Oryctolagus cuniculus: one gene and its partner. The protein of the gene in region 1 interacts with the protein of each later gene in a biochemical or structural test. Links are inferred from orthologs where the notes say so. Each region holds a gene or a part of one and is shown on either strand. Other genes may lie near its edges.

Region 1 (4,089 bases):
AATTCTGATGGCAAATAGTTTATTCTCTATAGTTCTATTTATGACTGACTGTAATAGACGATTCTAATCAATGCAATACATATATAGTAAGACCATTATTTATTCATTAGTTAAAGCCTGACTTTTGGGCCTGCATTGTAGCACAGCAAGTTAAGCCACTGCCTGAAGAACCAGCATCCCTTATGGAAGCAGTTCAAGTGCTGGCTGCTCTACTTCCGATACAGCTCCCTGCTAATGTGCCTGGGAAAGCAGTGGAAGATGGCCCAAGTGCTTGGGCCCCTGCACGTACATGGGAGACCCAGGAAGCTCCTGGCACCCACATGAGGGACCCGGATGAAGCTCCTGGCTCTGGCCTGGCCCAGCTCTGGCAGTTGCAGCCATTTGGGGAGTGAACCAGTGGATGGGAGACCTCTCTGTCTGTCTCTCCCTCTCTCTGTAACTCTGCCTTTCAAATAAATAAAATAAATTAAAAAAAAAAAAAAAAAGCCTGGCTCTGGAGAACTACAGGTTGCCTCAGTCACCTTCAACAGCTCCTTCCACGCAACGTGAAAGAAACCGCCTATTGAAACCCACGTTATTAGTGAGGTCCACTTATCACAAACAAGGCAAGCTCTGACACAAACGCTCTTTCCCTTGAAAACAGAGGACACACGGACAATTATATTTGGTGATATTTCAGCCCTCATACCAGTGCTGAACTGATCCATGGACACTTTGCAAAGAGTCATCGATTTACTCAAATCATACAAAAAACACTGTTAACCCACAGAGAGCGGACTGGTTAAACAAACAATACAGCAAAATCTAGCTGCCAAAGGGCTGGGGGTGGGGGAAGGTCCTGGCCCTGTCTCAGGCAGGTAAACAGCACAGAGGCAACCTTGTGAGGTGCTTCTCTCGGGTCTGTGCATAAGGAAACTTCTGCAAAGCCACAAGGCGGGTGCTCCTGTGAACCCTGCCGTATTGGGCACAGCGCCCCAGAGAGCTACTGCAGTAAGTTTATATGGTAGGGACGCAAGGCTCCCTTGGTAAGAAACACATTTCCTAATCAATGCTTCTCCACTTTGGCAGTGTGGTTTAGAAAAAAAAAAAAAAGCCAAAAACACAAAAACACACACCCTCAAAGTGAAAAACCCAACCTACAAAGACCTGACCACAAGTGCATGATATGGAAAACTGGGGAAGTCTCTTCTGAACACCAGCTGTTTAGCTACCGCGGAAAACGGTTTCCTTCATGGCAGACAGAACGTGCACTGGGAAACCTCCTCCAGTTTCATGCTGTCAGAGACCCTGCCTTCAACCTGGGCCACCCGGTAGGGACTGGACTCGGGCGAACACTGTCAACCCCCAAGCAGCCTTCCCGTCTGCTTCTGAACACGGTTCTCCCACTGGCTCGTTAATGTAAAACCGAATGCTCCGAATAGCCGCGCTGGAGCACCGGGTGGGGACTCCAAGTCGCTCGGCCGCTGCCCACCCCTCGCAGGGGCGCACGGCCGGCCGGGCCACCGCCACTGCCCAGCGACGCCAGCACCCGCCTATCTCCCCGGGTGGGGGGCGGCTTTCTAACGTGGATTTCGCGTTACTCCCGATGCCAAGCGTCGCCAACACGCCAGACATGGGTAACCACACGCCCCGCACCGCCACCCTGCAGACCCTGCCCATTTCTTTCCACGTGAAGCCGGCGAATGCAAAGAATCAAGGAGCTCCCCGCCCCCAGCCCAACTACGCAATGAAGTCTCTAAGTAGGGGCTCCAAGCACCACATTCCGAAAATTCAGAGCTAGCCAAACAAAACGCCAAGGGAACCGCGTCGGTTCGCTTAAATATTGACAGATCTCACTTTTTTTTTTTTTTAAGTATCCAAGAGACGCCAAGATTTCCACACCCGCCCCTCCCCCCCGCGCCGCCTCCCTCCCACCCCTCCCCCACCCCGCCAGTCGCTTCCCGGACGCCTCCGGGATGCTACTCACCCAGCTTTTCCACCAACTTCAGCATCACCCCTCCGATGTGCACCTCTCCGGTCACTCTCAGGGTGACATCGCGGTTCAGGTCCGTCACATGCACACTCAGCTCCCACGTCCCGTCCGCGTAGCAGCCATCTGGCATCCTTATCCCGTCCAGAGCCATGGCTCCTTCCTGCGCGCGCGGAGGAAATGGCTCTCGTAAGCGTCACTCCCCCAAACGAAGGCAAAGCCCACCGTGCTCGCGGCGTCGGCCGCCGGGCTGGGGAAGCCGGAGGACCCGGTGTTGGGGGTGGGGTGGGGGGCTCCCGCGCAAACTCGGGAGCACCGCGGAGCCGCACTGGGCGCTCCGCGCTCCCGCCCCGGCCCCGAGCGGCCGCGGCCCCGCCCGCCCCACGCCGCCCCCGCCTAGCGGAGCGCAGCGGCGTCCCCTGCCTGCCGCCCGGCCGCGCCCGGCCGCGCCCGGCCCGGGGAGACGCTGCCCGGGGGCTCCACAGTCTTCGTCCCCACCCGCGCTCCCCAGCAGATTGCAGCCCCGTCCAGGCCCCTCACCGCGCGCTCCTCGCGCACCCGGCCCGGGGCTCGCCCGCAACAGGCGCGGGGGCGGCGTCCGCGTCCCGCTCCGCAGCCGGCTCAGCTCTGCCTCCTGGCCGGAGCCGCTAATGGAGTCCCGGCGCCGCGGCCCCCAGCCTGGCTCCGCGCGCTCCACCCCTCTCTCCCCGCCCCCTCAGCCCGTCCGGTCCGGGCTGGGCTCGCCGGCTCCCTCCTCCTCCTCCTCCTCCTCCTCCGCCCCGCAGAGCGGCCCGGAGCGCCTGGGGCCGACCTCGGCCCCTCCACAGCCCTCCCCGCGGCTGCGCTCCGGGCGGGGGCCGCGGACTCCGGGCTGGGGGCGGGGCGGCGGGGGGCGGCGGGGGGCGCCGGCGGCGGCGGTGGCAACCTCAGCCCCGCCGAGCGCTGCCCTTTTATGGAAATGAAGGACCAGGCGCAGGGATGGAATCCAACATCCGGGCTCTCGGCGGCGGGACCTGAGGAGGGGGAGTCCGGGCCGCTCCTCCGCCAGCCGGAGGCCGCGGCGTGAGGGAGCCGGCGGCCGCCCGGAGGATGGGGCTCGGCGCGGCGAAGTGGCCGCAGGGAATCCCCAGAGCCGTCAGATTTCGGGGAACAAAGTCCTGCCGCTTCCTCCCCAGGCCTGGAACGCGCCCCAGAGTCCCGGGGCGGTGAGGGGCGCCGCTTCCCTGGAGCCGGCGGGCCGAGTTGGGGATGTAAAAACTTTAAAAAGTGAGCGCCCAAGCCGGCTCCACGAACATGCCGCGACAGGAGGAGAAAACCCGGGGTGGGGGAGGCGAGCCACAAACGTCGCTGTGCCATGGGTGACCGGCACGGTCAGCGACTCCCACGGGACCCCGGGAGTTTGCACGAGGCCTTAACCCATTGGGAAGCTGCAGCCCGGGGCGAGTGGCGGGCGGGCCCCCTCGCTCGGGCTGAGGGCAGGGAAAACCCTTGGTGCCAAAGCGTGTCCCCGGCCTGTCCAGTCTCCGGTGCGAATCTGGACAGCTTGAGAACCAGCCGCCTGTTACGAAGATGGGTCCTGCACCGCACCGCGAAGGCCCTGCGGTGGCTCCTGCAGGGCCAGGGAAGACTGCACGGAAGGTGCAACGCCGGCCTCCGGCCTCCCTGCCTCCCCCTGCCCCCTGTGCCGACCTCGATCCCGAGGGAACTCTGTGCACAAACAGCGAACCAGGGAAACCGCTTCGCTGGCCAGTGCACGGCTCAAAATATATAGGTCAGGAAGCCTCGGGTAAGATCCGCTACGAAGGCTCCCGGTTTGCAAAGCCTCATGGCTTTCCAAACACTTCGAAGGGAAACCCGCCAGACAAAAACAAAACACACTTTGGTTCATCGACACCTCTGGGCCAGGAGGTGAGAGCCTTGAGAAAGGACTGGAACCCAAAAAGGAGTGAACGCAGCGATGCTGAGTCGGATGCCAGAGGTTTGTCACCAAAAAGTAGAGGGAACCACTGTGGGGTTACAGCGTCGTCGTCATGGAGAGACATGCCTGCAGGCTCTGCCCCTGCACTCCCCGGTTATTTCTACTGAAGGATGTTCCAGATCCTTCCTTTGGAAGCGATAAG
Region 2 (3,689 bases), on another chromosome or scaffold:
ACCCAGGGTAGGCTAGAGCTTTGAGTGCTTCTGCAGGTTGTTGTCCACCTCCTTCTCATACCAGTTTTTTCTCTCTAGAATTCGGCTCATCTCCCTAGCTGCCCAGAAATTCATCTCAGATATTGCCAACGATGCCCTACAGCACTGCAAAATGAAGGGCACAGCCTCTGGCAGCTCCCGGAGCAAGAGCAAGGTGTGAGGGGAGGCTCACTTAACCAGTAATTACCCTCCACAGCAGCGGAGGCTTAACTTATCCTGAGAGCCCTGTGGGGAAACTAAGTCCCAGGGGAGGTGTAAGGCTACTCAGGATCACCCACCTGGGACTTCAATCTCGGATTCCTGTGCTCAGCTGGTACTCTTCCCTCTTCCCTCAGGACCGCAAGTACACTCTAACCATGGAGGACTTGACCCCTGCCCTCAGCGAGTATGGCATCAATGTGAAGAAGCCGCACTACTTCACCTGAGCCACGCAACCTAAATGTACTTCTCTATCCCCATGTCCCCACACCAGCCTGTTTTCGTAATAAACTTTATTGTGACAGGCGGGGCTGATCCCTCCCATTCTGGGAGACACCGTGTGGCAAGTGACAAAGCTCTGAGCCCAGCCCCTTTTGGGGCCACAGTGGTAGGGATGGGGGCAGAGGATGGGCCCCATGGCTGGGGTAGTACCATGACTGGAGGCAGGGGAGGCAACCAGAGGCCTACTGCTTTGGGGAGTTACACTCCCCCAACCATGTCCTGACACCTTGGAGTTTCAGCAAGGACCTTGCAGTTCTATTTGTCCTGCATCTTCTCCAGGATAGGCACAATCATGTCAAATTTGGGTCGCTTAGCAGGGTCTTCATTCATGCAGATCTTCATGAGCTTGCACACATGGGGGGAAATACCTGGTGGGATGGTGGGCCGAAGGCCTTCCAGTGCCACCTGCGAATACAAGGAAAATTAAGATGAGCTTCAGAATTTGAGTGTGTCATACAGGAAGAGACCTCTGACCCTTGGGACAGGATTATGTATCTGAACAACTGTGGGTAGAGCTACAATTATTGTCACCACACCCATCTTTTCTGCCCCAACAGAAGGGTATGCACATCTGCTCTCACCTTCATTCCAATCTCCATATTGGAGAGGTCAGCAAAAGGTACCTCTCTTGTCACCAGTTCCCACAGAAGCACTGCAAAACTCCACATGTCTGCTGAGCGTCTGTTTGTGTCTTCAGGCTTCTTCTGCAAAGCTGGAGAGATAGGGCTTATTTGTTCCAGCTGCCTAGCCTGTCCTGTCTCTGCCTTCTTCCACTGCTACTCAGCTGGTCATTCTCTACCTCCCAATGCAATGCCCTCACCCACCTTCAGGGGCTACCCAGGCAGGTGCATACATGCGTCCAGGGCATTGGAAAGAGAACTTGACATCGGCCATGCTGATCCGGGCAGTCATGTCCTCATCAATCTGGAGAAGATAGGTATGTGGAAGGTGAGTCCTATTCTAGGTAGGCAAAGGGCTATTGGGCCTGGGCCAGGAGTGAACTTGTGGCCTCACCATTACACTACGGCTATTGAGTGCATGTCGTGGGATGAGGGGCTCTAGTGTGTGTAGGAATGCCATGCCCCTTGCCATGTCCAAAGCAAACTTCACAGCTTGGCTCTGGTCCACGACAAAATCTAAGAAGAGACAAGAGTCAAATCACTTGGAGAGGCTCATGTACCATTCCTCATCCCTATCCCAGTGAAACTCAGCATCCCTACTCACTGGTGCCTTCATGTAGTACATTGTAGAGGGATCCATATGGCATCCAGTGCGTAATGAGGGTTGGGTGAGGAGCAGGTGGAGACTGGCAGGCTCCTAGCACTGGGAGAACATTTGGATGCGAGAAAATCCTGGGAGAGGGAGAGAGTGTGGCTGAGAGCTAGTATAGAAGTCATCCCCCTCAGTGCTATTGAAGGTTCTTTGGAACCAGTAGCTTGCAGTTTAGGCCTTGCCCCACCTGAGCCGAGGACACTCCTCATTGAAGTCTCTGCTCTTCCTTGTACTCCAGTCTCGAACCTTCAGCACCTTCACCACGATGTCATTGCCCTGCCAGCGGCCCTTCCACAACTGAAGGACAGGTAGGGATTAGGAGGCTTTAATTAAGGCTGCACGTCTTTGCCCACTAACTGGAGGGAAACTTACAACAGGTGTAAAGCAGGTAACTTGAGTGCAATTAAAGAGAAAAGGGCAAGAAAGGCAGAGGTCACCTCTCCTGAATGATTCTCGTTGAGCTTCGCCAGAAAGTTGAGCTGTTTGAAGTCAATGCCAGAGTGCTTGTTCAGAGTCCCATTTCCTGAGAATTAGGGACAGGTCAGATATCCAGCATCAACCCTGACCCAGCCCGAGGAACCCATGGTAATTCTCCCTTACACCCCTCCTCCTCCAAACAGTGACTCACGGGGCCGAGTGCGGGTGGTCCCCTTCCAAAATGTGTCCTTGTATGGAATACGGTTCAGATTCTGGCCCATCTTCTCTGCCCGCTCTGGGGGGAAAAAAACCAGTCTTAGCCTGAGCTGTGGTAGGGACGGACAGGATGACAGACGCTGCGGGTGGGAGCTGGACCTCGGAGAAGCTCTCTTAGGGGTGCCTTCGCTTTGTCCACAGGCATCTCTCCATACTTGTTACAGATGCTGACAAGGGCCCCGTTAGCAACCAGATCCTGGAATGAAAAGATAGTTGTAATGAGGACCCCTGCTATTTCCCTAGCAGTCCCAGCCAACCCCCCCCCACACACACACACACAAACACACATGCTGTGTACAACCCCATAAATTATCACACAGTAGTGCTGACAGGTTAAGGGTTCCAGAGTATTCCACTCAGGATCAGAGGTTGCTTCTCACCAATCCAAGGACTCACCTCTGCCACTTGGTCTTGGCCCCAAAAGCAGGCATAGTGCAGGGGCACATTCCCATGCTCATTCACTGCATTGATGTCAGCTTTGTACTGCAACAGCTGGGCCCCATGGCCAAACAGAGAAAGGCACAGTCAGTCTAAATGAGCTCTCCGTATCAGGATGTGTGAAAAGGAAGAAGAGTATACACTTTCTACTGTATATTCCAGTGCCTGTGGTGGACCTTATATGGCATGTATATCATGTGGGTGATGGAGGGTTCATACATACCTTCTGTACAATATCACGGTGTCCATGGCTGGCAGCCAGGTGCAGGGGGGTATCATCTCCACGGTTCATCACATTGATCCGTGCGCCCCGCATGATGAGCATCTCAACCACAGCAGAGCGACCCTCTCGGCAGGCCCAGTGCAAAGGGGAGAAGCCATGATCATCCCTTTGAAAAAGGGGCAATGGTAATTGGGTTGGATGGGGCAAAGGCTTTTATTTATGAAAAAATAGTCCTATACTCTCTGGGAAGGCGTTTTTAAGGACTTCAGTTCTCGTTCAGTTCCCAAAGCTGTGCAGGTCAGCCCTCGCCCTGAGCTTCATGCCCAACCCATGACCCAGATTAGATAACCCAGTGACTCAGTTTCTTCCCTGACAGACCCTATTTCATTGTTTCTCCTGCATCCCTTTTGCAATGTCTGTTGGTCCTGTTTTTTGCTGCATCTTGTACCTCCTCCTACTGTAGCACTTGCCACACAGTATTGTAAAAATCTGTTAAGGAACTGCCTTGCCTGTTAGACTGTAAGTTTCTTGAGGGACTGACAGC

The links. The genes of interacting proteins can lie anywhere in the genome.
Region 2: the proteins of FERMT2 (region 1) and ILK form a complex in vitro, tested with the Homo sapiens proteins (2 studies listed by BioGRID). The link is inferred for Oryctolagus cuniculus from reciprocal best matches to the Homo sapiens genes FERMT2 and ILK.

The regions. Positions count from the first base shown.
Region 1 is NC_091443.1:23,419,198-23,423,286, reverse strand, and holds the start of FERMT2 (fermitin family homolog 2), read right to left. Parts: upstream 2,803-4,089; 5' UTR 2,510-2,802; intron 2,133-2,509; 5' UTR 2,124-2,132; coding exon 1,967-2,123; intron 1-1,966. UniProt on the Homo sapiens protein: Scaffolding protein that enhances integrin activation mediated by TLN1 and/or TLN2, but activates integrins only weakly by itself. Binds to membranes enriched in phosphoinositides.
Region 2 is NC_091432.1:60,282,949-60,286,637, forward strand, and holds the end of ILK (integrin-linked protein kinase), read right to left. Parts: intron 3,312-3,689; coding exon 3,146-3,311; intron 2,977-3,145; coding exon 2,881-2,976; intron 2,681-2,880; coding exon 2,584-2,680; intron 2,504-2,583; coding exon 2,420-2,503; intron 2,315-2,419; coding exon 2,229-2,314; intron 2,089-2,228; coding exon 1,979-2,088; intron 1,872-1,978; coding exon 1,744-1,871; intron 1,656-1,743; coding exon 1,534-1,655; intron 1,444-1,533; coding exon 1,344-1,443; intron 1,232-1,343; coding exon 1,101-1,231; intron 925-1,100; coding exon 775-924; 3' UTR 516-774; downstream 1-515. Other genes in the region: TAF10 (transcription initiation factor TFIID subunit 10), read left to right, coding at 79-193, 375-464. UniProt on the Homo sapiens protein: Scaffold protein which mediates protein-protein interactions during a range of cellular events including focal adhesion assembly, cell adhesion and cell migration.